Xenopus tropicalis: one gene and its partners. The protein of the gene in region 2 interacts with the protein of the main gene of each other region in a biochemical or structural test. Links are inferred from orthologs where the notes say so. Each region holds a gene or a part of one and is shown on either strand. Other genes may lie near its edges. The genes, in order: dcaf7, dyrk1a and lin52.

The links.
Region 1: the proteins of dyrk1a (region 2) and dcaf7 form a complex in vitro, tested with the Homo sapiens proteins (2 studies listed by BioGRID). The link is inferred for Xenopus tropicalis from reciprocal best matches to the Homo sapiens genes DYRK1A and DCAF7.
Region 3: of the proteins of dyrk1a (region 2) and lin52, one has a biochemical effect on the other in vitro, tested with the Homo sapiens proteins (3 studies listed by BioGRID). The link is inferred for Xenopus tropicalis from reciprocal best matches to the Homo sapiens genes DYRK1A and LIN52.

What each region holds. Positions count from the first base shown.
Region 1 is NC_030686.2:16,428,555-16,438,249, forward strand, and holds the end of dcaf7 (DDB1- and CUL4-associated factor 7), read right to left. Parts: intron 9,216-9,695; coding exon 9,057-9,215; intron 8,922-9,056; coding exon 8,810-8,921; intron 8,045-8,809; coding exon 7,926-8,044; intron 6,308-7,925; coding exon 6,098-6,307; intron 5,880-6,097; coding exon 5,762-5,879; intron 5,331-5,761; coding exon 5,158-5,330; 3' UTR 4,641-5,157; downstream 1-4,640. UniProt on the Homo sapiens protein: Involved in craniofacial development. Acts upstream of the EDN1 pathway and is required for formation of the upper jaw equivalent, the palatoquadrate. The activity required for EDN1 pathway function differs between the first and second arches.
Region 2 is NC_030678.2:12,493,812-12,504,723, forward strand, and holds the end of dyrk1a (dual specificity tyrosine-phosphorylation-regulated kinase 1A), read right to left. Parts: coding exon 10,770-10,912; intron 10,694-10,769; coding exon 10,547-10,693; intron 8,878-10,546; coding exon 8,737-8,877; intron 7,803-8,736; coding exon 7,496-7,802; intron 5,897-7,495; coding exon 5,772-5,896; intron 2,826-5,771; coding exon 2,217-2,825; 3' UTR 28-2,216; downstream 1-27. UniProt on the Homo sapiens protein: Dual-specificity kinase which possesses both serine/threonine and tyrosine kinase activities. Exhibits a substrate preference for proline at position P+1 and arginine at position P-3.
Region 3 is NC_030684.2:81,970,289-81,981,200, forward strand, and holds the start of lin52 (protein lin-52 homolog), read left to right. Parts: upstream 1-314; 5' UTR 315-329; coding exon 330-348; intron 349-3,542; coding exon 3,543-3,617; intron 3,618-4,169; coding exon 4,170-4,207; intron 4,208-5,975; coding exon 5,976-6,042; intron 6,043-10,777; coding exon 10,778-10,861; intron 10,862-10,912.

The DNA of each region.
Region 1 (9,695 bases), on a different chromosome or scaffold from region 2:
CCCCATTGGTTTATTATCTCTGCCTTCAATTTTATTACTCTACTGGCCATTTATCTGGTGTTTTTCCATTTGTATGACCTCTCCTCTTCCACCGTTTCCCCTTGCTTTTAAGCTACCCAGCCTGCTGTTTCCTCTGGACTCTCTTTATTTTTTTCTAGCTCTAAACAGCTAAACAGCACTGTATCTGCCCCTTCAGGAATTTAATATCAGTAAGAAACAACTTCACAGGTAGATATATATTTCATAAGTGAAATAGTTTATTTACTCTGTAAAAACACTATATAAATAAATGATGATTAAGATTAGCGTTTGGCACACCACGGTATTAGGGTGCCCTCTTGTGGTTTTATTTTTAAATGCTAGATCCATTACAGAAAAATGTTGATCATAGTCCACCCCACCTTCTCACATACCACTTAACAGTTCCAGATGCCGCGGGTGCAAAATTATTTTTAAGTCGCTTAATCATTTCCTCAAATGAGCAGTCACTGCGTTTAGTGGGGGATTGCAGATGGCAAACAATCCCATCCACATTGCCAGTCAGGGTTGGACTGGGCCCTGAAAACCCAGACCTGATCCCCACCTGCCCTCCTCCCCCAATAAGGTGCAGTGGGTAAGTGGTCGGCGGCACCAGAGGTAGAAGCCCCAGTGGGCCTTGCACACCCCAGCCTGACCCTGTTGCCAGTATTATATTCTGGACTCATGCAACAGGCTTTACTGTTATATATTGGACTAATGCAACAGACTTTACTGTTATATATTGGACTAATGCAACAGATTTTACTGTTATATTCTGGACTCATGCAACAGGGTTACTGAGAAAGGACATGGCTGAACTGCCAACAAGCTGAGAGGAAGGAAAGGATAGACAAACAGACAGACAGACAGACAGACAGACAGTGAAGAGCAAAATGGGAAGCACCATCACCAACTCCTTGTCCTCGCAGGTTGGCTGAGAACCATTAGCAAAAGCCTCAGTACCTTTTATATCAAGCACATTGTACTTGTATTAAAATCTTTAAAGGCCACACACAAAAATGTAATCAGTGAACAGCCTCTTTGAAATCTTTCAATACCTGCCACTCTGGTTGTGCAGAGGTTAATAGTAAGGCTGCAGCATCTTCTTAACCATTTAGATTTCCTTCTTCTCCTGTAACCCACTCAGCCCCCTCTTTGACTTCTGGCTTGTGGGCATGCTCAGCTGTTCTAAACTCAGATTACTAAACACGCCCTCCAGTCTAGCAGCCAGTAAAGAGATGGCACTGCTGGTTCCCATAGAAACTCAGCTCTAGCTGTCTGCTTCAATTTTTTTCTCCTAACTTTCTCTCCTGAGCTGAGCTCAAACAAAGCAGAACTTTTATCAGACAGTTCTGCCTGTGGGAGCCTGTATTCTTGATGAAATGTATTCTGAATAAGGGTCTGTGTGTGTTTATGCGGTTTGCAGATTATGTATCAGAGGAAAAATGTCCACTGGGTGAAAGCTGCTATTTGCTTTTGGAAAATGTGATGGTGCTGGCAAACGGAGGGGATATATGCAGTACAAATGATGCCATTTGGGTGGGGGAGACGTGCCCAACTGATACACTGTAGGCAAATGTCGGCTTTACGTGTCCTTTAAGCGGAGTGGTGGATGGAATAATGAATTCATGCTCCTTAGGTTCCCCGCTGCCGCACAACTTGTATTTTTATAAAGGAGAATTTCAGCTCACATATTTCTTCTCCTGCGTGGAAGGCGCAATAGTTAGAAAGATAAAAATAGCACTGGGCCCCACAGCTGGGATCAAAAGTCAGAGAGTATCCATATTTTGAGATGCTTTAGCTACTGCTGAACTACATGTCCCCACCCATATGCCAAAGTGTGCGCAGGGGGAGGTGCCTCTTCTACCTTCCAGATATGCAAGCAGGGCAAGCCAGCAGCCACTTTCCTCCTTTATTCACCATTTCTACTTGTCTCATAGAAATATTAGGAGCTTAAAGGAACAGTAACACCAAAAAATGAAAGTGTATACAAATAATTAATATATTTTGTACTATTGCCCTGCACTGGTAAAAGTTGTGTGTTTACTTCATAAACACTACTACAGTTTATATAATAAGCTGCTGTGTAGCCATGGGGGCAGCCATTTAAATTGAAAAAAGGAGAAAAGGCACAGGTTACTAAGCAGATAACAGATAAGTAGCATAGATTCCCATTGTATTCTACACAGTTTATCTGTTATCTTCTTATGTACCCTGTGCCTTTTCTCCTTTTTTTAATTTAAATGGCTGCCCCCAGGGCTACACAACAGCTATTTCTATTAACTACAGTAGACTTTCTGAAGCAAAAACACAACTTTTACCAGTGCAGGGCAACAGCACATTATATTTTAATTATTTTAAAACATTTTTATTTTTTAGTGTTACTGTTCCTTTAATATATAACTAACTGCCTGTTCTTTTGTTTGCCCTAGCATCCTGCTGTTTCAGCCGTGCAAAAGGTCCCACTGTCTTTCAGCAAGAGATGATTCTAGCTGTCCTTACATGTACAATGAAGCTATATTCCTCTGCAGGTCTGCCATCACTATTCATGGTGTCCCATATAGCGCTCATGTCCCCCAAGGCAGCCTCAATTATTAGCCCACCAGTGAGCTGGTAGAAAGGGTGCCCCCCCCCCCCCCAACAGTCACCCCCCTGATTTGCTCCACTACATCATATTATACCAATACTCCATCCAAACTCTGCCCCTTGCACACCCAACAGATCATGTCTTTTTGGGCCCCTCTACTGCTCCCTGATGGCGGCCCTATTCCTCACACATTGTTTGGACCAGTACAGTGTATATAGTTACATAGGGTTGAAAAAAAGACCACAGTCCATCAATCTCAACTCTACCAAGTAAACCCAGCACACACAACCTATACTGACCTATCTATACACTCACATACACAAACTATATATACCAATATCAATACTAGCTGTAGATATTAGTATCACAATAATCATGTCCCCTCGCAAGAGCCTTTTTTTTTTTTTTTTTTTTTTCAGAGAAAACAACCCCAACCTCGACAGTCTCACCTCATAGCTTAAATCTTCCATCCCCTTAACCAGTTTAGTTGCAGTCTCTGCACTCTCTCCAGCTCATTAATATCCTTCTTAAGGACTGGAGCCCAAAACTGCACTGCATACTCAAGGTGAGGCCTTACCAGGGACCTATAAAGGGGCAAAATTATGTTTTTATCTCTTGAGTCAATGCCCTTTTTTATACAAGACAGCACTTTATTTGCTTTAGTAGCCACAGAATGACACTGCCTGGAATTAGACAACTTGTTATCTACAAAACCCGCAGATTCTTCTCCATTAAGGATCCCCCCAACACACTACCATTTACATACATACATACATATAATGGCCCCATAAAATGATACCATTAAATTCATTTTCCAGCCTGCTCCAGATCCGAAGAAACTTGCATAAACATTTATATTGCTTTAAGCCTTAGATGTTCATATAGAAGCAATATGTGGGTTCTGGCAAATGCCAGAGGGGCTGCTGTAAGATGCCATAGACGGTCACTATTTATTGGGCTGGTGGGGCTGTTTGGGTCTCTGTGTACTTGAAATTCCAGGGCCTATTCTGAATCCCAGTCCAGGCCTGCATGCAGAGAAAGCACAACTAGTCCCAGGCATCTGTCTAGCAAAATGCACAACAGCACAGGGTCAAAACTGTCCCACGGTGCCACCTAGTGACAACCTGGGGCATTAATATTAAATGAGGAAATTGTACCATGGGAGTAGCTTCACTGTACTACATATCTATTGGATAGCAAATATCACTACAAAATCACTTTGCTCCAGTGGGTTTGGGCTTTATGACTCCTAAACCAACATAATTGAAGTAGAGTAAGGTCCTTTCAGAAGGCACAAGGGATCCACTATGTTTAAGAAAAAGGAGGTTCCATCCTAAAACTCCAAAAAGGGTTTGCTACAGTGAAAGATGTGAAGTTGTGGAATCCTCTCCTTAAGGATACATCTGATAGGGATGGGTGGCCTTTTAACAATGGGTAAAACACAGAGACACTGAAATGAACTTCGTACAAAGTTAATCCAGGGACTGGTCTGATTGCCCCTTGGAGTCCGTCAGAAATCTATTAAATAAGAGATGGCTTTGGATGTTTTTTCACCTTTCTCTAAATCATGCAGCTTTTACCGGGACACAGAGTTGAACTTGTTGTATGTATGTATGTATGTATGTATGTATGTATGTATGTATGTATGTAAGCAATGCCAAAGTCACTACTGATATATCACTGGAAATGTAAAGTTAAACGGTTCTGGCCCTATTTTAACTGCGTTCAACATTGGTGCTTTGGAACATAAAAAGAGCACTCTAGTAAACTCATACCTGCAGACCCTAAATGCCTATGAGTTAGCCAATTGTGATTAATCAGTCTAAGTACTAATCAAGCTAACCATAAACTGGAAGCCTCACAAGCCCAAGGAGGAGTACAGATTTCAAATCTAGTCTGTGAATTAAGAGGAGTAAAAATAAAAAGCCAACAACTGCACAAAGGGCACTGAAAAACATGGCCAGCCGTGCACAATAAGGGTTAATATTTCTACAGCTAAAAGGAAATATGTTAAATCATTGCTGCCAATCAAATGTAGGGAACCTGATACTCCTTTAATATCAGACAATATATAGAAACAGCATGTCAGCACTACAAATACACACATATATGAGGATAGTATACACAGGTAATATTACAGTACAATAGTTACCATCCCACCCACAACCCGGCCCCCCTCCCATCCCCCAACAACTGAAATACACTCGGGGCAAAGTACAGGGAACTGACTAAGGAAGGGAACCCCTTTTCTTGGGTTGTCAATTATAAACCAGGGCCCGATTTACTAAGCAGCACTAATTCCTTCATGTAAAAGAGTTGAATCACATACTGTAAAAACAGGCAGAGGACTCTGTTTATCTGGATGGACAATAATGTTTAGTAGTTACAGCCAATAAGGTACTGGAGGATAATGAGGATCTTCTGGCTTACATCACAGACAGGAAGGTGAGCCAATAAGTTCAGATGTATAAAAACCGGAGGCCTTGAGGAGCAGAAGATCCTGTAGGAAAGGGGTAGGAAGAGTGGGCTAGAAGGGTAGGGAATAAATACAGTTACACTCGCAGGATCTCCAGGCAGTTGTTGTAACAAATGGCAATCCAGTCAGGCTGGGTGCTTGCCCACTGCACATTGTTGATTTCTCCCTCTGCTGTGTATGCCAATATGGGATCCTCAATCGCTCTTGGCATCTGCTGAATATCCCAGATTAGGGCCTGGTGATCATCCGCTGCAAAGGGAACAAGGCCCATTAGTGTTAGTTAGGGTGCCACTGGGGTCTGTCACATGACTGGATATCACATAAGTAACAGGACACCAGTCACTTTAACTCTACAGCTAATTTATAACTATTACTGGCACATAAAATAACAATAATCAAACTCACATTGGGGACACCTGGGACAATATATTGGTGGCCAGGGCACTTTTAAATTCAGGGCTGGATTTATAATTTGTGCCACACTAAGCCACTAAGCCAGAGACTGGCAGTAATAACAATTAGTGGCCATATATTGTCTCTCCTTAAGCTTTGCCCTCTAGGGTCCTGGTTTTGCACAATTCCAGGCCTGTGTGTGCACTGCAAAGTGCTATAGGGCAACATTATATACCCCTACCAACACTTGGGTAATATATGCAGTAAAGCCTAAGCAAGATGCTCACCTGCAGTACAGATGTGGCAAGATGAATGGGGTGCCCATGCAATGCCATTGACACAAGCACGGTGGTTGTTAAGTCTGGCTACTGGGGTACAGGGTACTCGTACATCCAAGATTACCACCTAAAAAAAAAAAAAAAAAAGAATAAAAATATGATATGCATTTGTAAGAACAGAAAATGCCCTCTGGGCATACCCCACCCTGTACTGCTCCTTTACACCTTTATGTAATACAATGGCACACACCAGATTGACTGTACGTATCACCAGGCTGCTGGTCAAATATAACGATGCAGCAGCTCTCTGTGCCAATCTGTGTTTAACAGAATCATTAATATTACCTCCATTCCATCCATGGCCATGGTTGCCAGATAGTTCGGATCCTGCTTGTTCCAACACAGTCGAAGTAATGGATGATGTTGGGGGTCTTCATAGATGATTGTACTGTGCTCCAGGTGGCGCAAGTCAAACATTCGCACAGAGCCATCTGCCCCCACAGAGGCAAACATGTCTCTGCCCCCTCCTGCACGGCTGAATGCAATGTCATAGACCTGTCACACACAGGGGAGGGGAAAGAAAATACTTTTATATTCATATGGGTTAAAAAAACCTAACTCATTCATACTGCACTGGGTTCAGTTGGAAGGGTTGAACTTGACGGACTTTGGATTTTTTCAACCCTGTGTAACTATAACTGCACAACCTGCAGGACCCATCACCGTGTACACTGGAAAACAATGACAAGACATTTAGGACTTCCTCTGAACCTTTCCTAGTTTAATTTATTAATGCCCCATCTTTTGCTGCCTGAATAATGCTCTAATGTAATTTATTCCCATCTCCAATTGGTGCTGTAAAAATGACACCACTTGGGTGTGTCCAAGATGGCGACCAAACCAGATGCATAAAGTGAGAGCTCTGTGTATCGATTGATCTCTTTGGCAGTTCTCTTCACTCCACACTCCATTTACTACTCACTCACAGTTTGCCAGCAACCACTGGAATGCAGTACTAAAAGCCAACATGGGCAAACATTTTCCATGTATGAGATCAGAGGCTACGCCCTCACTCACCCAGCCAGGTTCCCGCTGGACAAAAGCTTCTGCCAGACATTAACGCCAGAACCACCAGGCCCCCCTCCCAACCAAGAGCCTAGCGAGCCCACAATGGGGGACTTATTGGAAGCTATAAAAGAAACTAGAGCAGCCACTACCTCACAAATAGAAGGGATTAAGATCAACTTGTCCCTCCTGCGCCCGGACCTCTAATACATGAGAGGCCGCACTGCTGCTGTGGAAACTCAGGTCTCCCGAGGATACAATTAACCCCATACACAACACCATGCCATCAGTAACAGCAAATCTAAGCACTAATGGACAAAACAAAGACCTGGAGAATAGACTTAGGATGAGCAAGATCAGAATAGTGGGGCTCCCGAAAGGGTGGAGGGACAGCAGCCAGAGGCATTTATTTGCAAATGGCTATAGGATGTAGTGGAAGCAGATACATTCTCCTCACTATTCGTGGTGAAAAGAGCCCATCAAGTTCCTCCCAGGCCACCCCCACCGGGAGCACCACCAAGACCACCATTCCGACTCAAACTGCTCAACTTTAGGGAACGGGTCGCAGCTCTGAGCGTAGCAAGGCTCAAAGGCCCGATTCTATACAATGGCATCACAATCTCCATATATCTGGACTTTTCTCCTGCTATACAAGATGGCGACACCACACATTTTTTTTAAATTCTCCGGCAGAGGCAGATGAAGGAGAAGGAGGTGCCACCACCTCCCGCTGAGAGAAAGGCACTAACCATCCAACAACCCCCCTTGGGAATAGGGAGCACGGTAAAGGCCTGAATAACACGTCTCTGTGCTTGCCCTTACAGATACCCCAAGAGCAATGGGTTGGGCCTAGACCTGTACAAGGTCTTCAAACCGATTACTACTCTCTGAACAAATCTAAAGGCTCTAGCAACCCAGACCCGTTAAGTCAGGTGTCTCTTTACCCACAACTGCAATCCCCCCGCAGCCACAATATGGGCATGCAGCACAAAGCAACCCAGCAAACTATAGAGAGCCTCAGAGAAGTGTGACTGGAACTCACTCATGGGATAGTCTGTACATACCTTCCCATATCACATTTCCTACCGATAAACCAAAGGCTTCTCACCTCTTTGTCATGGGCAATGAGCTGCGTTTTCACATGTCCAGACACCAGATTAACCCTGCCAAGGACCTGTCCAGTCTCCAAACCCCAGATTGTGCATGTTGTATCAATACTTGAGGTTCCTGAAGGTTAAAGAAAATAATGTTATTCTGCAGTCCAATGAACATTCCTATACCCACAATACAAACAATAGAAAGTCCTAGCACAAGAGGGAAATGGCCGATATATGATGGTCTGATTTGTTCCAGACAGGGACAGTATATTGTTATCAAGCTGGTTTATATGTCCACTTGAACACTGCATGTAGTTAATATCGGCTTGCTAGGGAGGCAATTGAAGCGTGTATTAGGGGTTAGGTGAAGACTAAAGAGAGTGTTCTAAAAAGTAAGAGGTATAGAGTAACTGCACTGAATTGGTTTATATATCCACCTAAAAGAGAGTACAATGCATGTACATAAATGTGTTTGCTCGAAAGGCAAATGAAAACTAAAGATAACCATATGGACCAGAGGACAGATTTTAGCTGCTCATTCAGCCCAAGTCAGCAGCTTATCACCTGTTTATTTTAGGGCCCTCCAATGGGCCTACCAAACCAATATCTGGATGAAATCTGGGGTTTAAAAATCCCATCCCAATGGCCTGTATCCCCATTTTTATGATCTGATCGTTTGGCCCTAGGATCAGTCTGAAATCGCCCACCTGGAGGTGGGCATATTAAGTAAGGTCAGCTTAAAGAAGTTATAGAGTTACTGTATCAAGTTGGTTTATAAGCTCAGAGGCTTGCTCTCAGTGTTAGTTTGGGTGATGTTTTATGAAAATGCATTAAATAACCTTGGATCTACAAGGAACAGAGAACTGTGAAAAAGCAGGCCTTGCTTGTTCCTTACCCAGCAGGTTGGGGTCTACTTCATTCCAATCAAATGAGGTGAGGGGGGCACAGAAATCAGAGTTCTTGTTGTTGTTTAGCAAACACTCCAGACGGGTCTCCGTCTCTCCAACCTTTGATAAAGAGAGAAACAGAATAAGCAACATGACACTTATCAACACTCTAATCTCAAGCGCTAATACTCTGTTGGGTGCCATTATCAATCATTATTCATATTTTGGGCTTGTAGTCGCTGCCTTCGTACTTACCCTCCAGACACGGAGGTAATCCCCGCTGGTGGCTAACAGATCTGGATATACTCCTTTAGTGTCGGGGATCCACATAAGCTTTGTTGTAGGATACGGGTGATCAAATGTGTTTCGGCAAATGAATTCAGAGCTCTCTTCATCCAGTCCTACTAGCTGTACCTAAAAAAAGAAAAAAAAAAAAGAAAGAAAAATCAATTCCTGAATGAAAGATTGGTTAATACAGTGAAATGGTACAAATTAAACCACTCACGTGCAGGACCTGAGCCACTCCTACTTCCTAGCATTACCATTCATACAGCAAACATTTCTGTACAGATATCACCTAAATTTGTGGGATCACCAAACTAGTGGGCTTTTGCTTGATGTGGCCACTCACATGCTTGGCTAAATTGGATTTATTTGATCGTTTGGCCAAACAATTGGACCTGTGGCAACCCATCGGGAGAGGGCCTTATCAACATAACTACACAGCCCTCGCATGACTTCACTTCCTAAAGTGATACTAACAGCAGCAAAAACGCCAAACCTGGAAGCTAGAGATATAAAAATGTTTTAAAACCTCAACAAAACATAAAATGAAGAGTTATCGCCACTTGTCTAAGAATGCAGCTGTCTTAACCATACCCTAAGTTGATAATT
Region 2 (10,912 bases):
AGTTAACAGAAAAAAAATAAGAGCCAATTAGCGTTCCAATATTTAATTCCATGGACAATGCAATATTACAAGATGTATAGGATCATCGCTAGACTCCTGCAACTATTCCCTCCCGTATTTCTCTCTCAGAGTAAAGAAGCATTTAGGTATTAAAAAATAAATATTTTATTATATATATATATATTTTTTTTTATTTTTTTTTTGTAGGGCATAGCGGGTACTGATATTTAGCCAGCGCTAAACGTGTTCTTGGACTAAGGCAGCGGAACTGAAAATTAGGCATCAGTAGCAATAGCCTTCGTTATCTTCAGATTTACCTTGGGTACCACTTCCCTTCCGGACCTGTGTGTGTCGGAACAAGGGGCGGGGCAAGGGGCGGGGCTGGCTGAGAGCTTTAGGGTTTCGGTGGTGGAAACCGGAACACATATCTACGAGCCACTCTGTAACATGACAGCGTAATAGATCCGGCACGGACATTTCGGTATATGTTGAACTAGAGCACAGCGACAGTTCCAGTTTTGTTGAAGCAATAGTACAGCCAGAATTTTTGTAAAAAACAAAAACAAAACAAACAAAAAAACTGTCCCATTACACCTTGTGCCAAAAAGTGCAGAACTGCTACATTATTGGTTACAGACATCTATGTGCTATAAAAACAGCTTTGGTACAATAAATTATCAAAAAAAAAAAAAAAAAGGAAAATAATTTTTTTTTTGTAAAATTCACAGCATAATTGTGAGGCAAAAAAATAAGCAGTCACATAAAATTCTGCATCTTTTTTCTTTTAAAAATGTTCAAAAGGAACAGAAGACATGTTTGTGCAGAATAGTGGAGATACCACGTGCGGAGAAACGGAGGGGGGGGGGAGCTGAAAATAAAAATAAAAGATATGGGGGGGGGGGGAGAGAAAAGCAAATGAAAGAAATGAAGGGGGCTGAAATAAAAAAATAAAGGATGGGACACAGGTGTAGCTATTTCCATCCAACGCAAACCACTACTACTGTGACCTTTAGCCAATAAGGAAGTCAGCTTTATGACACACACGCAAAGTGACCGGGCAAAAACTCTACAATTAGTGGGTCACACCAGTCTATGTGAAAAGAAAGGCCTCTTGAATGAACCCCATTCTGGATTTTCAGTATGAAGGACCGTCTACGAAAAGCGCGTCCCAAAGTGATTGCATCTGAAATGGCAGGCTCTTCGAACTCAAGAGTCCAAATCCATAAGGCCAAAGGTTATCCCAAAGACCGCCGACTCAGACCTCCCCAAGGAGCGGCCATGTCTGGCCTGTTGATTGCTTCTCAGTGCACCTTAAGATCGAGCTGTCTCCCACAAAAAAACAAACAAAAATAAAACGATAAGATCCATTTTTAACGGCTGCTTTGTTTCCCAGATTCAGGACAGGAGATTCTGATGACCGCCATCTTAGCACGTTGACTGCCATCTTAGCACGTTGACCGCCATCTTAGCACGTTGACCGCCATCTTAGCAAGTTGACTGTGTGTGACACCCGTCCCTTTGACTATGGTTTGTGTGTTTAGGAGGTCGAAGGTTCCTCTCTCTTACAGTACTGCATATCTGTGCCCAAGTTTCGATGGACCATTAAGCCCCCCCGAGGGGACCCAAAGAGGTGCATTTTTTTGTTTGTTTTTGATAATGTTGCTTTTTATCATGTTGGCAACTGACTATGTTCAGTATAACTTACTATGGTTAAAATATATAAATATATATGTATATACAAATACATATATATATCATTTTATAAAATTATTATGATACGAGTGTACAGAGTTTAATGGGTGGGGAAGGGTGGGGCGGGGGTTGGGAAGCAAAAGGGAGAGGAAATTACCTCGGAGCTATCCAATAAGGTGTGTTTGGAAACAGCTCGTTAAAAAAATAAAAATCGTTTCACTTCATTGTCCCTTTGCAATCGTTTTGTTTTTGTTTTTTTTTTTCAAGTTTAAAAAAATAGTCAGCTTTTCCCTGTTGTAGCGGTTTAAGTGTGTTTATCTCCTTCTGATTAAAGCAGCTTTTGCACTTTTTTTTTTGTTTTTGCTTTTGTTTTTTTTTTTTTTTTAGTTTTTTTTTCTTGGAAAAAAAAAAACTTCTAAAAACAAATAAAACAAAAGGAAAAATAAAAAAAAATAAAAAAAAAGAGAGAAAACAAACCCACACACAAAAAAAAAAAAAACCAAACAAACCTAGATTGAATTTAGTCACGAGCTTGCCACAGGACTCTGCTGAACACAAACTCCTGTCATGGGAGAGTCTTCTCGGTCCATCCCTTGCCTCATCGTTAAGTGTCCTTCCGTTACGTAGTGGCCGGGGCCTGTATTTGCAGAATATTGGTAATCTGGATGTCCAGTGATGCCAGTCTCTTGGCGAGGGTTTGAAAAGGCAGTTAAATTAACATCCATAGTTCCATTCTGTCCAAAGTCCAAGGTGTTAGCAGCCACAGGACGATTCTGGTAGGCCTGATTGCCTTGGTTGCCAGTAGAAGAGGAAGATGTTGAGGAAGAAGTAGTTGAGGAAGACAAGGATGTCATGGAGTGGTGGCTGTGACCGACATCCATAGAATCCTGGGTGGAGGAGCTAGTTGATGGAGAATTGTAGATCCTGGTCCTCGTCCTGTTACTCAAGACATGCTGTCCGTGGTGGTGATGATGGTGGTGGTGATGGTGGTGGGAGCCATTCCCATGGTGATGCGGTACATTTTGCTGGGAAGGGGGGACATGAAATGTTGTTTCTTGGACAGGGTGTGTTTCAATGGTGACCTGCGTAGGGGCTTCAGGGACGGTCCAACCAGGAGGAAACTGTTGTCGAACCTAAGGAAGGGAAAAAAAGGTTAAAACACAGATAAATGCACATATACAGCTCCCTACACAGCACAGGAAATAAAGTCATTGTTTTTTTTTCTTGGTTTTATTTTTAAACACTACCTAAGCCTTGGAAATAATGATCTGTATAATATAAAACCTTAAGATTTCCCCCAGTGGTTGGCTGTCTCCTGGGTCTACAGAGAGGAAGTTCATAATAAAGGGTGATTGGCTGGGAAGGCCAAATGGGATCAATGTCAAATGAAAGTGCTTTCAGTGTCTCTGTTCTGTACTGTTTAGTGCTACAAATAACATAAATATTATTATATAAAACTAGAGGGAGAAGAAAACAAGTCCTGCAATAACCCTTCTTTTTGGGCTCTTGTTGAAGATAAAGACTGTTTAGGAAACCATGGTTCTACATCTGCACTTACACAGGTACCTGAGCTTCTTCGGGTCAGTGCCAGAACAGGTCATGCAGTAACTGGAATGGTGACTAAAGCACCGAATATAAAGACACAAAACCCCCAGGGCTGCCATGCAACCACCCCAAAAAGCACCCATTGTTAGTGGCCCTGAGCAAGGATTTGATAAACAGCAATCACACACTTACCAGTGGACTGGCCCATTATCCCTCTGCAGGGACAGTCAATATCTACTAAATCTGAAGTTTTAAATACATGAAAACAACTATGGCTAGTGAGCTTCCCATGTAATTGACCCTGTAGCCCAGCATAATGCTCTGGTTATGACCAACACTAAAGTGCCAAAGGCTGGGGCACAATCATTCTGTCGTTAATGGAGAGGACATTACTAGTGTCATTTTTTTCCACGTGCGGAAATTTTTTGCAACGTGGTCGAAAATTTTTTGTAGAGCACAGAATTTTTACGCAGTGAATTTTGTCGCCTGTTTTGCAAAATAATCCTCCAATGGCGAAACATGGAAATTCACTGCAAATCCATGCCTGACGAATTTCGCCCGTCACTAGACTTAGTACCTAGATGTCAATCCGGTTTGTAAATGCCCTCTGTGCTTTCTAATTTACAATAAAATATATTGGAAATATATATAAAGCTTAAGGGCAGGGGTACACGGGGAGATTAGTTGCCCCATGACAAATCTTTGTTGTCGTGGGCAACTAATCTCCCTGCCATGCCATCTCACCGGCTAGAATGTAAATCGCCCGTGGGGTGGCATACTCGTTGCTACGATGTCTCGCAGTCGCCCATAGTTGCCTTGAGAGGAAACTTCGGCCGACTGCTGGACATTGCAGCAACGCGTATGCCATCCCACCAGCGATTTACATTCTAGCCGGTGATGTATGTATTCTGGGACTGTCCCAAAATATAATGCTTTTTGGACTGAGATACTTGGGACTATGGACTCTTCTCTAGGCCTATTGAACATACAGACCCCCACACTCTGCTTACTGGGCCATACAGAGAGGATAACGCTGAATTCCAGTGACAGACTTTGCCTCCTACAGCTTCTGCACTATGCTAAAAAAGCCATTCTGATGAGCTGGGAAGCAGCGGAGACCCCAACACAGTCCTACAAGCAGCTTGTAAATGTCTCTCCAGCCAGAAGCTTACAAACATAGCCTCAGACTGGCCAGGAAAATCAGGAAAATTTGTGACAAATGGCTGGCAGAGATGTGAGAAGTATCAGTAACTGGGTGTAGTGTAGGAAAGCCCTGGTTATTCGTATCTCTTTCTTCTTCTCTTTTAATTCTCACTTTAAACTCTCTCTTGCGTTCTTCTTGTTATGTGTTGTGTAAACTTAAAACTCAATAAAGAAAAACTTATGGAAAAAAAATTATATATATATATATTTATATAGCACTGCAAGTATTGGCACTCACCAGTCCAAAGGCAATAGCCGGGTGCTAACCCAAGAGATGCATCCACTGTATACAGAAAGCACTCACGGCCTTAATGTCCAAAAAATTGAAATTTTATTTCAACATGCTATCTACGCGTTTCAATCCACAGAAGATCGTCATCCTGATGATGATCCTCTGTGGATTGAAATATGTAGATAGCATGTTGAAATAAAATTTCTTCATTTTTTTGGACATTAAGGCCGTGAGTGCTTTCTGTATACAGTGGATATATATCTATATATATATCCAAAAAAGACCAGCAACACAGAGTTATAGTGCTGGGCGGTATGACCAAAAATTTATATCACGGTATTTTTTTTATTATATCGGTATCACGGTATTTGACGGTATTTTTTTTTCCCCATGCATGATTAGGTGACCACCCCAAACACCCCCCCCAACCCCAAACACCCCCCCCCAACCCCAAACACCCCCCCAACCCCAAACAACCCCCCCAACCCCAAACACCCCCCCCAACCCCAAACACCCCCCCCCCAAACCCCAAACACCCCCCCATCCCCTTCACATAAATATAACTTACTGACCAGGCAGCCGCAGGCACCCCCGACAGCTCACAGAGCCTCCTGACAATTTTTCTTACTATTTCCGGGTTGCGCGCGTGACGTCAGCGCGCACAACCCGGAAATAGTAAGAAAAATTGCCAGGAGGCGCCCACACCGGTATGCCGGTAAGTTAAAAATTTTTATCATTTTTTTTTTTAAAAAAATGGTGTTCGGTATATACCGGTATACCGCCCAGCACTACAGAGTTATATTCCAAAAAGATCAATCGTGTATTAAAAACACATGTTTATACATCACATCGACGTTTCGGTCCTGGTGTGGGACCTTAATCAAGATGTTACACACAATAAAATACACATATAAGTGTAACATCTTGATTAAGGTCCCAGACCAGGACCGAAACGTCGATGTGAGAGATATCTAATACAACTATATGCAGCACCCAACCATGTCGGTGTCAGGACCGAAACTGAATTAGAGTGACTGTCAGTTTTCCTGATATTCTGACAATAAAATAAAGTGCAATAAAACAGGCATTCTGAGGGTACCTGAGGACTGTGCGTCTCACAATCCATAGCCTGAACAGCAGCTGTGAAATGGCCACCACTGTGTCGATGTTGATGAGTAGGGTCAGACCTTGCTCTTCCACTGTTGCTTGTACCAGACGAGCCACCTGATACATAAATATATGTGTGATAGAAATATAAATCAAGACGTCAAAAACGTAGAAAGCAAATCATCACTGGGTTATTATAAAGTCACCTATCTGTACTAATGCAACCTGCAACAATAGTTGCCATCTGTCTAAGCTATACACACTTTTTGTATTTCATAAAATTCCCTACTCCTAGCAACTTTGCAATTAGTCTTTATTATTATTATTTTTTTATTATTATTTGCCTTCCTCTTCTGCAACTTTTAAGCTTTCAAATGGGGGAGGGGGGTTCACAGACCCCTGCAGCTAAAAACTAATTCTCTGTGCACTTACAATTTTATCATTATTGTTACTTTTTATTCCTTATCTTTATATTCTGGCCCTCTCCTATTCATATTCCAGTCTCTCATTCAAACCATGGCCTGGTTGCCAAGGTAAAGAAGACCCTAGCAACCAGACAGCTGCTAAATAACTGAAAAACCACAAAAAAAAAAATTTTTAAAAACCAATTGCAAATTCTCTCAGAATATCAATGTCTATGTAATAGTAAATATAAAGTCGAACAATCCCTTTAAGGCCTGTGTCAAATGCAAGCTAAAACTTGTGCACGGTGGCCGTCAATCAACCCATGAATGATGAGTGTACTTACGCCTGCATTTACTACTTGTCCTGAAGGGCGGCTATGAAGGCATAAGGGCAGGTTAATAGGCCCTGGCATTTCAAGTACACAGAGGCCCAAACAGCCCCCCAGCCCAATAAATAGTGACTGTCTGTGGCACCTTACAGCCCCCCTGGCATTCCCAGTACCCAGAGGCACAAACAGCCCCCCAGCCCAATAAATAGTGACTGTCTGTGGCACCTTACAGCCCCCCTGGCATTCCCAGTACCCAGAGGCACAAACAGCCCCCCAGCCCAATAAATAGTGACTGTCTGTGGCACCTTACAGCCCCCCTGGCATTCCCAGTACCCAGAGGCACAAACAGCCCCCCCAGCCCAATAAATAGTGACTGTCTGTGGCACCTTACAGCCCCCTGGCATTCCCAGTACCCAGAGGCACAAACAGCCCCCCCAGCCCAATAAATAGTGACTGTCTGTGACACCTTACAGCCCCCCTGGCATTCCCAGTACCCAGAGGCACAAACAGCCCCCCCAGCCCAATAAATAGTGACTGTCTGTGACACCTTACAGCAGCCCCTCTGGCATTCCCAGTACCCAGAGGCACAAACAGCCCCCCCAGCCCAATAAATAGTGACTGTCTGTGGCACCTTACAGCCCCCCTGGCATTCCCAGTACCCAGAGGCACAAACAGCCCCCCCAGCCCAATAAATAGTGACTGTCTGTGGCACCTTACAGCAGCCCCTCTGGCATTTGCCTGAACCCACAGATTGCCAGTCCGGATCTCATGTGAATCATGAAACCTCACTGTAAAACATTAGTTCTATATAAATACAAGACAAAGCCTTTAGATTTATAGAGACTTTGTGGAAGGAAATAACAGCATTTAGCAACACAAATTAAACCATACTAAATGAGCGTTAGTAACCTTAAGAATGCACAGTAAGGAGTTTCCTGAGGTGTGGGTGCTACATTTGGGTGCTAGAGAACAAATCCTCATACCCGAGCTAGAAGATGTGCTAGAGGTGGTTCCTGATGACTGGGACTGCTCCATTGCTGGACTCGTTGATACACTGTTACTCGTGTTTGTACCTTCGTCAGCAGTTTTCTTAAAGAAACTATGTTGCAGAGCATAATAGGGTTGGATACGGGTCTTGGCATCATAATCCAACATCCTTAAAATGAGGTCTTTAAACTTCAAGTAGTCCGCTACAGTATGACCTGATTCCCCGCCTCGGCGGCCACCTGGTCCTCCAGTTTCTACTCCAAGTAGGTTGTGAAGTTTTCGGGTTCCCGGTGGTTTGTACTCCTAGAGTAATAACACAGACTCCCGTTAACAACTTGCTGGCACTGGATATACAGGCACAACAGTATTTGTCTATAAACAAAATAAACAAGCAAATAACTATGGGTTGGTTTAAAAATGGTGGTGCAATGTGATAGGGACCTTAGACTGTAAGCTCCTCTGGGGCAGGGACAGATGGGAATGTGATAGGGACCTTAGATTGTAAGCTCCACTGGGGCAGGGACTGATGGGAATGTGATAGGGACCTTAGATTGTAAGCTCCACTGGGGCAGGGACTGATGGGAATGTGATAGGGACCTTAGATTGTAAGCTCCACTGGGGCAGGGACTGATAGGAATGTGATAGGGACCTTAGATTGTAAGCTCCACTGGGGCAGGGACTGATGGGAATGTGATAGGGACCTTAGATTGTAAGCTCCACTGGGGCAGGGACTGATAGGAATGTGATAGGGACCTTAGATTGTAAGCTCACTGGGGCAGGGACTGATGGGAATGTGATAGGGGCCTTAGATTGTAAGCTCACTGGGGCAGGGACTGATGGGAATGTGATAGGGGCCTTAGATTGTAAGCTCACTGGGGCAGGGACTGATGGGAATGTGATAGGGGCCTTAGATTGTAAGCTCACTGGGGCAGGGACTGATGGGAATGTGATAGGAACCTTAGATTGTAAGCTCACTGGGGCAGGGACTGATGGGAATGTGATAGGGACCTTAGCTTGTAAGTTCCACTGGGGCAGGGACTGATGGGAACTGAGTGCTAAGCTGTATACATATAATACAACCCAGTGTATCTAGTGACAGTTTTATACATGTATATTGACTATACAGAAAGAGCAGGGACTGCACTGTATAACCAAATGTGCCTTTTGGGCTTAAACCTCATTAGAAACATGCAAAGCCGTTGATTCCTTTTCCATTCCATAGAATTTAGCAAATTACCTTTTTTCCATCTTTGGTCTTCTTTAAGTTCCAAGTGCCTTCTGGCATCTTCTCAAAGAACTTTCTAGCTTTTGGTGCTTGGTCAAGGATGTGAGCAGGTGGTATTCCTAAAACTTCCACAATTTTACTCATTTGATCAACCTACCAAGCGACAAAAGCAAAGTCAGTCGAGGCAGAACCCACACATGATGAAGTGACCCATTACAATTATGGGGCACCATAAAACAAATATGCCATCATCAAGTTATTTATATTGGGTATCCCATATATGTGACTGTCTGTGGGAAGACCCGAATAGGGCACAGAATTGCAAACTGTGGGGAGGACTAAACTTGGGAGGCAGTAGCCTTATAGGTGGCCATAAAGGCCCAGATTTAGTGGGGACTATTCTAAGCATACTGTAAGCATCTAAACTCATTTGGCTTTTAAAGGAAAACTAAAGCTTAAATAAAGAAGGAAATATTGTACATTATGTTTGGGGGGTTGTGTACCAGCCCCAGGCCCCCACAGCCCTTTAGCAGGGAAGATCTTTGCTCCTTAAGATTGCCCCAGTAGCCCCCCATCTCCTTTTCTGCCGATTCCCTGCCCATACTCTGTGCTGCTGGCACTTACCTGAGCTTAGGGGCCCACTCACTATATACTGTATATATAGAATATAAATGTCACAGTATAACCTGAGCTTAGGGGCCCACTCACTATATACTGTATATATACACTATAAATGTCACAGTATAACCTGAGCTTAGGGGCCCACTCACTATATACTGTATATATAGAATATAAATGTCACAGTATAACCTGAGCTTAGGGGCCCACTCACTATATACTGTATATATACACTATAAATGTCACAGTATAACCTGAGCTTAGGGGCCCACTCACTATATACTGTATATATACAATATAAATGTCACAGTATAACCTGAGCTTAGGGGCCCACTCACTATATACTGTATATATACAATATAAATGTCACAGTATAACCTGAGCTTAGGGACCCACTCACTATATACTGTATATATAGAATATAAATGTCACAGTATAACCTGAGCTTAGGGGCCCACTCACTATATACTGTATATATAGAATATAAATATCACAGTATAACCTGAGCTTAGGGGCCCACTCACTATATACTGTATATACCAAGTATAAATGTCACAATATAAGGCTGATTAGTAATTAATACAGATAATTACTACATGGCAGCTCAGAAACCAGTGCAGCTAGCGTGAGAATGTAATAATCACTGCTGAGCCACTGAGTTTTTCCCCTGCTGGTTGGTACTAAATCAGCCGCTCTAGAGCCAAAATTCGGATTTCCTGAATTGAAATTTCAGCTCTTCTGGTGCAGAGAGTGCTATTGTGCTGTCTGCACTAGCAACGCGGCCCCCTCCAGCGCAAAAAAACTAAATTCAGAGTGGCAAGGTGGGGGGCATTCCCTAGGCCACCTCAGGGAAGTAAGTAATATGTAGCACACCACCTATGGGTGGGCGATATCGGGGGAATTTAGGCTAATTCAATCGTTTGGCCCTGGGGCCAGCTCAATGCCGGACTCTGGGCGCTCCACCCCAACCCTGGATCGTGGGCAAAAGTAAATGGAACGTGACACAGCACACAGGGGTGGGGGGTGCACGCAGTGGGTGGGTATAGGCATGCAGACTTTGCAACTGGGTGAGGGGCCAGTGAGGTGGCAGCCCTTGTCTCAGACACCCCATTCCATAAGTGAGCATGACAGCATAAAAGTGATCTACCAATTTAAATCCATGGCGCATTACAAAAGGAAAATAAAAGTGTTGCTACTGCCTTACCTCATTGGCTCCACTGAAGAGGGGCTCCCCAGTGTGCATTTCTACCAAAATGCAGCCAAGGGACCACATGTCAATTGCAAGGTCATAAGGCATTCCTAGTAAAACCTCAGGAGACCGGTAGAAGCGACTCTGAATATACTGGTATATCTAGGGACAAGAAACAAGGTATAAGCCGATTGGCTTCCGTGGCCTCGGTTTCGTGGGAACAAGAGCCAATCCTTACCCTCTGCCCTAGCTGGCACGAGCTTCCAAAGTCCACAATCTTAATGGCGCTTCGTTTTGGGTTACAAAGCAAGATATTCTCAGGCTTCAGGTCACAGTGAATGATACTAAGTTCTGGAGTCGCCAGGAAGAGTAGTGCAGTGC
Region 3 (10,912 bases), on a different chromosome or scaffold from region 2:
CCCTACTATGTGTGCCTTGATTGGCTCATATTTGTCACGTGATGACTCTTGGATCTTCACCGCTATTTGCCATTTTTACGATCGACAAAATGTGTAGGAACATGACGCCTTCTTGGTGTCTGGAAAGTGATGTAGCAAAAAGGCAGTGCATCGCACCATGCCTTAATGGTTAAAACATTATTGTACAAGTTAACTTTAGTCTTTAAAAAATAGACGTTTGTGTAAGCTATGGGTGGGTGCAGCAATATGGCGCTTAAGTATAGAGCGTCAAATTGGGTGTACCAAGATGGAATGTTTAAGTCTATTTCTGTCACGTGACAAGTGAGAAAATGGCGGCAGTTACGGATGGTAAGCGGTTGTTTTTAATTTGTAGGTACACTAATGGGCTTAGAGGAAAGTATTCTACATATATGTATCCGATAATTGCTTCTAGCAGCAGGGTAAAGCCGATGTGTGTTCCCGCTGCGCATGGTTACTCTGTCGAGAAAGTACTGGGAGTTTATCATTAAACCTTGAAAATAACAGTGAATGCATTGCGATGTTCTGTGCTGCTCTGGTGATCCCTAGCCATGTCAATAATTAGCCGCAGACAATGAACTGATCCTTCTTTTACTTTTCACATGTAATAAGGCTTCCTATTGACATCAGGTGGAAAGTGTACAAGCCTTCGGCTTCGTCTAGTTTGTAGGAAGGTGTACTTGCACAATTTGGGATGTTGCCAATGTACAGACATTAACCTAAATACTACTACTCATAGACGAATGTAGCATAGTGCACATGCGTAAAGCTGTTAGATCCTAGTGTGGATATAGCTCAGTGATCAAGCTACTAAAGGCAATTAAAGAAAAGAGTGCTTTATTTTAGCTAAACATTATCATAATCACAAACCTAATGTCCCAAAATTATATACGAGATATTCACGCTCATGAAAAAAGTATTATACAGTCTAGCCTAATCCTAATGACCCAAAGTATACTACGTAAACCCAAACTCTTCCTATCAACATACATGTAAAAAATTTGTGTAAAAGCTTTGTGAGTTGAACCCAGAACCCTAACACAGAAGGGCAAGAATTCCGACCACTTTACCACAATGCTACTTGGTTACTCTAGTGTGTGAAAATGTATTCTTGTGAATACACCTTGCCAACAAGAAAAGTTAAAATCTAGCTTGTTTTGTATGAATAGCCTAGATCCTTTTGGTGTAATGTCCTTTTGGTGTAATGCCCAAACAGCCCCCACCTGGCTAATAAATGTCTGGCATCTAACAGCAGCCCATCTGGCATTCCCCTGGATCCACAGATAGCCAGTCTATACCTACAGGTGGGAGTGACTTGAAAATGGTAACAGAAAAAAAGATACAGTAAGAGCAGAAGAAGTAAAACCTTGCAGAAATAAACTCTCCTGCATACAGGTTTAGGAAGAGTGAGGTACTTTATAACAGAACCCTACCAAAATAAGATTTTTTTTATCTTTTAAAAGAATAGCAAGAGTATATGTCCTCTTTATTTTACTTCGTTTGAGCAAAGGTCTATACTGTTTTTGTTACCTCAAATCTATGTGCTGAGATCTTTGTGGGGTATGAGTGAGAGTTTACTTGCAATAGTTAATGGATAACGCTCAATTTAACTTGTTTTTTTCCCTTTGAACGCATTCACAGCTATAGTTTACAAGGGGAATTATACCAGTTTTAACCTGTTGTGTGGCTTTTACGTATTTTTTTTCTCAAATTATACTCTGCAAGTAGTAAGCATGGTTTGCAAGCATGATACCTTCTTAAAACACAATGCTAGCAAAATTCACTGGGGTTGCCAAGTTGTCAGCCACCCCCCATGATTGTAATCATCAACAAGAGAAGTTGTTCACATTGTGCACAGTACAAAACTCACTGAACAATTACTGGACTCTGCTTACCCAGGGCAATAGAGGAGCTTTGGAAAGAGCAGGGAAAAATGGTTATGGCACACTCTGCAGAAAAAATGCAAGCTTTGGGTCTCTGCTCTGTAAATATAATCATGGGGGGATGACTAACAAATTGGAGCCTGCCAATGATTTTAGCTTTTATCATCCTTTAATGAGTGAAATTCATAGAGATTTTCATTTGTACTAATGGATTTGTTCATATGACCCAAACACTTTATTTACTTAGCTGTTAGTACATGCTTTTACATATCACACTGGATGGTTTGTAGCCTAGATCCAACTTTTAAATGGAAAAGAGCTCTGTTTAAAGATGCACTTAATCACAGGCAAGTCTAAAGACTGGAATTCTCCACATTCTGAATTACATCAAATTGACTTTGGTTGCAGCTAAAAGAGTTATATTTAAATAGTGGATTGAGTCCTCCCCTCCCTCATTCACTGACATTTAAGCAGAACTAAATCTTTGTAAAAATGAAACTATTCATTTCAGATTCGATAGCTTGAAAACACCATTTAAAATTTACATCAAAATGGAAAATATTTGCAAAGCTTGGAAAATAAGGAAAGAGATAAGATACATGACATCCTTTATCATTAAAATGGATTCCTACTATACGTAATCCTAGCCATGAAAATAATACTTGGCACAAATTTTTTCTTGAACTCTAGTAACTTTAATATATTAAATATTATTACAATTAGTTTTATGTAAGATTGTAATTGTTTACTTTTCAATGCTTACCTTTTATGATCTCTCTATTTTGAATGAGATTCCACGTTCACCTGTATGTTTTCTTGAATACTAATACAATGATTAAAACAAAAAAATGAACTTTACACTTTTTTCAACACAAGCAAGATAAATAGAATGTATGTATAATATAGTATACTTATGTATTATTATTTAGTTTTTACTTTATCTACCTATTTTAACCGCTATCAACTGAGTTTAAATAGGGCCAATAAGCTTTGTATAAACAAACACCATACTATTTATTGATCTGATTTTGAGCTAGAGGTGACACTGCCCCTTTAAAACCAGTGGGAAGTAAGTAGCTAAGGTCACAAAGTCACAAGATTTCACTTAGTTGACTATTCAAAAATAGTTTTGGCATTTAAAGGAACAGTAACACCAAAAAATGAAAGTGTTTTAAAGTAATTGAAATATAACATACTGTGGCCCTGCACTGGTAAAACTGGGGTGTTTGCTTCAGGAACACTACTATAGTTTATATAAATAAGCTGCTGTGTAGCCATGGGGGCAGCCATTGAAGCTGGAAAAAAGGAGAAAAGGCACAGGGTACATAGCAGATAACAGATAAGACACCATTGTATTCTACAGGGTTTATCTGTTAGCTGCTATATAACCTGTGCCTTTTCTTCTTTTGAATGGCTGCCCCCATGGCTACACACCAGGGTTTATATAAACTCTAGTAGTGTTTCTGAAGCAAACACAAAACTTTTACCAGTCCAGTACATTATAGTTTAATTTCTTTAAAATATATATATTTTTTGGTGTTACTGTTCCTTTAAGCTGTTAATCAGCAAACGTTTTCAAAATGTTTATTCACTTGTTTATGAGTGTACCTAACTACTGAAATTGAATGTTGTGCGGTTTAGATGCAGATCTGGAGACCTCACTACTGAGCTTTGAGAAACTGGATCGAGCATCACCAGACTTGTGGCCTGAGCAGCGTAAGTGATCTCTACTTTGTTCCTTCTACCTTATATAAATCAATTTCAATTTACAAAAAGATTTTCTGAGCAGGTACTCTTATGCCCAGCTATGCTTCCATCATATGGACTGTGAGAAGGGCATTAAGTGCTATTGTACCTATTTGCATGTCTTGAAAAACTCCAAGACTCATGACTCATGCACTGGCAACTAGTACAGTTTCCTAACCTATGAGAAACTCTTGTATCTCACAATTGCAGTTTCATTCTTGATGAATATACTGCACTTGCAGAATTTATTACTGTGTGGATTGTAGCACTGGGATTGAAATACCAAATTATTTCAGTTTCAAAAATAAAATCAATATTCTCACTCACTTTATGTTAGAGGCTGCAGTTCCTAGTGACAGGTAGATTCCATTTAACCAAATGACGGGCTGCACAGGCACATCAACAGCTGGTAAATATGGGGGGAAGAATACACCCTATGTGTAATAGACAGGATAATAGACAATAATAGGCTGAACTTTCATCTTTGCCAGCTATGTAACTTGTTCTCCTCGTTTCTTACAGTCCCAGGAGTTGCAGAGTTTGCTGCTTCTTTTAAAAGTGTATGTATAACTTAATTCCTCTATTAGCTTATATACAGTATGGCTTTGTTTTACAATGTATCTTGAAATATGTGAAATATTGTTGGTGTTACTACTTTTTATTATATAATTTTTCATTGCATCTGCCCTCTGTTTTTTTTCTGCTTTTCCAAAGAAGCCAATGTTAGTTTTTTTAAAGAAGCCCTTTTAGTTAACTTAATATTGACTTTTACTTTCTGTGCATGATTTTTGTACAAAACGTAGCACTAAGATAGAGAAATAAAGAGAATTGTTTTAAAATGCAAAATTAATTTAGGGACTGGTCCATTGAGTCAAACAGGAGGCAGCAAGCATCAACCAAATAACTTTAGTAAGAATGTTAAAATAATGGGCAGAGGCATGCATAAAGATGGCAAAAACCCTAATACAAAACTTCGCCACCTAAAAGCAGTCGGGGCAGAAGTCAGTGGGAGCTCTCCTAGGCAAACTGTAACAATCTTTATTTAATTCATGTTTTTAATAGTTTTGCTGTTTTTTCTGTTTCCGAGGATTCTAGTATTCTTATTCAAATTTTTTTGTGGTTTTTCATTTGTGTTTTTTATATTAGGCTTTTTTATAAAGGACTTGGCATTAGTGGTTTTAGTGAAAATGAGGTGTTTTTTTTTGTGGTTTCAAAAATCCTTTGAGTGTTTTTTTCAAATAATGGGCTATTTTGTTATTTATTTTCTATAAAGAGCAATTGACTCCATGGCATTTTTCAGTAGGTAGCATGATTTCCAGCATGAAACGTGCGCTAAAACACAAGGAGAACAGGGTGTACCAGGGGCAAAAAGTAAATGTGTGGTTGGAGAGTACAATAAATTAAAAAAAAAATAAAAATAATGCATGTGATACTATTGCTGATAAAAACAACTTAACAGACAAGTTTTGGAAAACTTCAGGTATGCCTAGGGAAGAAACACCTGAATCCAGGGTCGGACTACATGTGCCTTCACCCGAGCGTATGCCCGTGTGACATTAGCCTTAGGCTTCTGTTTGAAACCATTTAACAGTTCCTCTGGTCTGCTAATGTGTTTCTTATTTTTCTTTAATTAATCATAAACTCCTGTGTAGTGAACACCAAGTAAGTTATTTAGTTTTATAGAAACATTACTAAGACATAGTGTGGTAGGTATTTTGTTAAATGTGATATAAAAAACAATATAACATATGTTCAGTAGTGCTAATATACTCACAGCCTAAAAGCCATCAAAATAGAGCAATGTTAGGGGGCCATTTACTAATGGTTTGATTTTTTTTTTCCCAACTGTTTTTAGTGCTAAAAGTCGCAGAAAAAAAGCCGTGACTGTTTTTGAGATTTACTATGCGACAAAACGGTTACAAATCCAACAATGGCAGATATCTCCTCCCTTCCCTGGAAACTCCTTTATTTTGCATTTTTGCCGCTGTTTTTTTGCGTGACAATCTGAAAAAGTCAAAATGTTTTGGTGCAACAATTTGAAAAAGTCGCAGTTTCTCAACTTTTCTGCAACTTTCCCACCCGTATTTCTTCTGTTCAGACTCTTTGGTAAATGTCAGACGTTCGTGGAAATTAGTTTATTCGAATTTCTAAAAAGTAAATAATGTAAGTTAAGTTTAGTTAATTTGCCTAAAGTGAAGTATTAGTAACTGCATACTGTAAGAGTAAAAGAAGGTGTATGTAAAGCATCAATTGCATAGAAAATAAGATTTTGGAGGATTTTTCCAACATAATATCTAAAGTTTCTATCATCCCATTGTTGTTTATTAGCCAATCAAAAGCACACCTCGTAAATGGATGGCAGAACTTGAGAATGATGACATAGATATGCTGAAAGGTAAGGATGGAAAACTGCACCTTTTTTCCCTTTACAGTAATATTTCTCAAGTGCTCTATATGTTCAAAGATCCATAACAAATCGGTTATGCTTGGACAGGGTTGAAGGGGGGCTGAAATGGAAATTAAACCTACTCTGTGTAGTTCCTGCAAGGTAGATAATTAGATTAACACAGCACAGATAATCCCCTTGCATAATAGACTTGTGTTTATCTGTGTACTGGTAATTTAGTTATCTACCTTACAAGGACTAAACATGGAGAAGATTCAATTTCCCTTTTAGCTCAAGAAATAACAAAAAATATACTTTTTGTTTAATTAAACAAAAAACTATGTTCAACATAAGCCAGATTCGTTGCTATCATGTTGAAAAGGGTGCATGCTGCTCTTTTTAAAAGAGCTGAAATTTTGTTCCAGGGCAGTTTTTTGTCTCCCCTGATAGTGTTACCTGATGGAAGTTTTATATCTTGCTTCATGGCAGAAGTGTACCTGGTGTATAGGGCTTTTGACTTAAATAAGGGACTAAAATTTATGGAGATGCTTAGTTAAAAATGTATTGCAGTTAAGTTATTTACAGGCCATTAGTCTCTGTAACCTATTCTGACAACTTTTAGATAAGGGCCAAGTTTGATTCATCGGTCTGTAACAGAACCACAACAATGTTAATTTGCTGTAGACCAGACATTAACATTTAGGATTTGGTATTTTACATCCTGAAGCTTCTCTAACATATAGTAGTTATGACGACTGACAAATAATATTTGTAATGTTTCAGTGTATTTTGGCTTTATCCCTACCTCTTCCCAAACTGGCCAGTACAAGCTTTGATTGATTAATATAATTCTTTAGCTGTCTTCTAGGCAGGTGACCCATTAATTTACTAACTGTGTATATGTGTAGATATGTACGATCTTCATTGCTTTCTTTGGTTGTACTCCCTCATACTGCAGTTTCCCTTATCTGCTTTGTTTTCCTGTATGTCTGCACTTTTGCTTCCTTTATTTTTGGTTGACTAGCGATCTGCATTATATACATTTCCCTGATCATTGATATTGTTGTTATCCATATTGTTACATTGCACAAGCTGTGTTTATTTCTGTTCTATCACCTTTTACTATTTTGAAACTTTTTCCTTTATGTTCTTTCTACCAGTACCAGCACAGTTCATGTACATTGGTTACCGATACTTTTTTTGGCGCCCTTTTTGTTGTGGTGGGGTATTTATGGGGGGTGAGGTTTGCACTGTCTTTTGGTTTGTCCCTGAGGAAGAGCACAGTTGGTGCTCGAAACGTTGGATCGTTTTCATTAAAAAAAATTTTGTTTTCTAACAAAGTCCCTGCGTGTGCGGCTCATTGTCTTGCTATATACATGGTTTTGGCAAGCACCTGGGGCATTTGATTACTATTAGGGTGTGCTCTGTTCTTTTCTGTGTATATATATATATATATATATATATATATAGCCGCACACACACACATATCTGCTACTTTTTGCTATTGTGTAAATCCTGTGAGTGCCGTCACTTGTTGCATTTGTATTTTATTGATTTGCACTGGCACCCGGGTCGCAACCCCTATTGTATGGTGTGCTGCCTATATCTGGACTTATAATATAGATATCAGTTAGTTTGATAGAAAACTGCGCAATGTAATTTTCCTGCTGGTACTCTCCTTAAAGGAGAAAGAAAGGCAAAGTCACTTGCCAAAATGTTAGGCACCCCCAAGTGACTTAAATCGCCTACCTTTTAGGCGCCCCTGTTTGGAGAGAACAGCACCAGCCCGGGTAGCTGCGATCGCTTCCTCCTTCCTGGTTCCGTGCGTGCGCATGCGCAGTAGAGTGAAAAGCCGAACTTTAACAGAAAAGTCGGCTTTTCACTCTACTGCGCATTTGCCCACTGCTTCCATTTTAGGAAAAGGAACCAGGAAGGAGGAAGCGCTCCGCTACAGGTACCCCGGGCAGGTGCTGTTTTCTCCGAACAGGGGCACCAGCCCGGGGTACAAGGTAAGCGGTTAAAGTCACTTGAGGGTGCCTAATATTTTGGCACCCCTAAGTGACTTTTCCTTCTCCTTTAAAGGATAAGGTGGTCTTGAATCGGCGTTTCACCTGTAAGCTACCTTTTAGTATGTGTACAGAATGTCCGATTCCTAGCAACTTTGCAATTGGTCTTTATAAATATATAGTTTATGAAATATATGCCTTCCTCTTTTGCCTCTTTTTAGTTTTCAAATGGGGGCTCTCTGACACTGGCAGCCAAAAATTATTGCTCTTTGAGGTTACAGTTTTATTGATTATCTCATATTTGGACCCTTATGTATTCATATTCCAGTCTCTCCTTCAAATAACTGTTTGGTTTCTAAGGCAAATAAGACCCTAGCAACCAGCTGCCAATATGCCAAACTGAAGAGCTGCTGAACAAAAATCTAAATAACTGTAAAATCACTAAAAATAAAAGATGAAGACCAGTTGCAAATTGTCTCAAATATCAAGGTCTACATCATACTAAAAGTTAGTGTAACCCCTATTTGCTGTGAACAGGCCAAAGCACGGCTAGTATAGGTTTAGAGCATGGGGTACATGCGTCTCAATCCTTCAGGATGGGCCTTCGCTAAATGGAAATGACCAGTGGAGCTAGGGTGTAGTGCAGGGGTGGGCAAACTTTTTGGCTCACGGGCCACATTTACTTACCCCCGGGCCAGACCGGGCCAGGGAAGGCAGGGCCAGGCCAGCGTTACGCCCCCTTAGTCTGTTTAATTCCGGCCCGCCAATGACACCAAGTCTCGCGTGATGAGACTTGGCATCGTCGGTGGGCCGGATTAAAAAGGCCAAGGGGCCGGACGTGGCCCGTGGGCCGTAGTTTACCCACCCCTGGTGTAGTGCAACTACAACTCACTATAGCTGTGTGCAGTGCAAATTAGCAAAGATGGACGCCAGAAGATTCTTGCAGTTGAAACAATAGAACTTGTTTTTTTGTCAGAGACAATCAATGCGCAGGGTTAAGCAATATACTCTCCTACAGATGTTATATGATAGTAGTACTCTAAGGACAGCAAAGAGAGGATGTACACCGGTTTATCCCACCTCCTTTAGAGTCTGGGCTGGGTAAATGCACCTGGTCAGCTTGAGTCCTACAGCCGACTGTGGATCAGGGTTTAGATACTGCCTGTCTCCTATGTCTTAATCGTGGCCCTATGCTGAGGCAACATTGCCAGTATGGAAGGGTACTTCCAGCTACTTTCCTTGGTGGAGCCGAAACGGCTCTTGCTTCCTTCCCTCTATATCTCACTTTCCTAGAGAGTGCTCGACGAGAGTAACTATCTAACTGGTCCTCATTCATGTGGTCCCTGTCCCCGACTTCACTAGAGTAGGTGATGACTCTAGGGTAAAGTATGGCTTTACAGGGACCTTGTTGATCCCAGGCTCAGTGGACCTTCACCTGAGACACAAAGGCAGCCAAAGAGGAAGACCCACCCCTTTGCTACACACCATATTGGAGTGCAAAGGGTGGAGTCAACCTGTACACCAATAAGGCACAAGTGCAAAGGATAAACTAAATACATAGGTTTTTGCCCAGTAACAGCATAAACTAAGGAAGTTTTAGGGTTTAAAGCCATAGGGGCATATTAACCTTATGGGTCCAAAAGTGGACTGCCCCATTAAATTCTTTATATGTAGACAATAGTATTCTAAGCAGGGCCATATTTACCACTGGGAAGCCCACCTTTATGGTAAATTGAAAAGAATCACCTAAAATGTTCCCCCAGCTCACTGCCAGATACTTGCTGATAAATCCAGTGCTTGATGGGTGGATGTGTTTCTCCTGCGATTGGCACGTACTCCCATGACACATCCACCAATCTTAGGAGAAGGGAGCAGGCTAAGGGCCGGTGCCTAGGGCAGCCCTGTTTTTTAAGAGATACTATAATTGAGCTTCATTTTTAATTTTTTTTAGCGTTTTATATTTTGTGTTCTGTAGCTGCAAGTGGAAATTTCAACTGCTGATTTCTAGCAACCCTAGTGGTTGAAAGGCAGACTAGAATATGAATAGGTGGGACCTCTAACGAAAATTAAGAAATACAAATGAATAATAATACATTTGTAGACTGCAGAGAATCAGTTTCTCCAAATGCACGGCCAAGCCGATTCCAAATCCTTTTAAATCACATGTTTACGAAATTTGCAGGGGGTTTTTGTTTTCATGCACAGATTTTTGCCCCCTGGATTAAACCTATTTGCATATGCATATTAGGATTCGGTTCAGTATTCGTTAAATTCCTTCACAAGGATGGTTTTTTTTTTTTTTGACTGTTTGACTGCATTTTATTGTTATTTGTATTTTTCTTCTTATTTTTATTTTCACGCCCTCTGCTTTTCATTTTCCTTTTTCATTTCAAAACTGCTATAATAACTGTTGTAACAATCCCCTTGCAACTAGATAGTTTAAATTCCATGACTGAGAGCTGTTTAGCAAAAATTAAATAATTAAAATACACAAAAAACAAACACCATTTGCAAACAGTTTAGAATTCATTACACCGTACCTAAAGTTAGTTGAAGGTAAAAGCTCCCCTTCATTTACTGTATTAATTGACTTGTTTTTCTTGGAGTGTTTTTGTGTAGGCCACGCTGCTGGTCCTCACCATTTTGCATTGATAAATGCGTTCATTAATGCTGCATGTCTTTAGATTTTTCAGTTATAAGTTGTTGTTTGTCCCCAATATATGTTTGTTTTTGTTCAGAGCTGGGAAGCCTTACCACAGCCAACTTGATGGAGAAGGTGCGGGGCTTGCAGAACCTTGCCTATCAGTTGGGACTGGATGAATGTGAGTATCCAAAATATCTGTGTTACGGTAAACTTTTATAATGCCAACAAG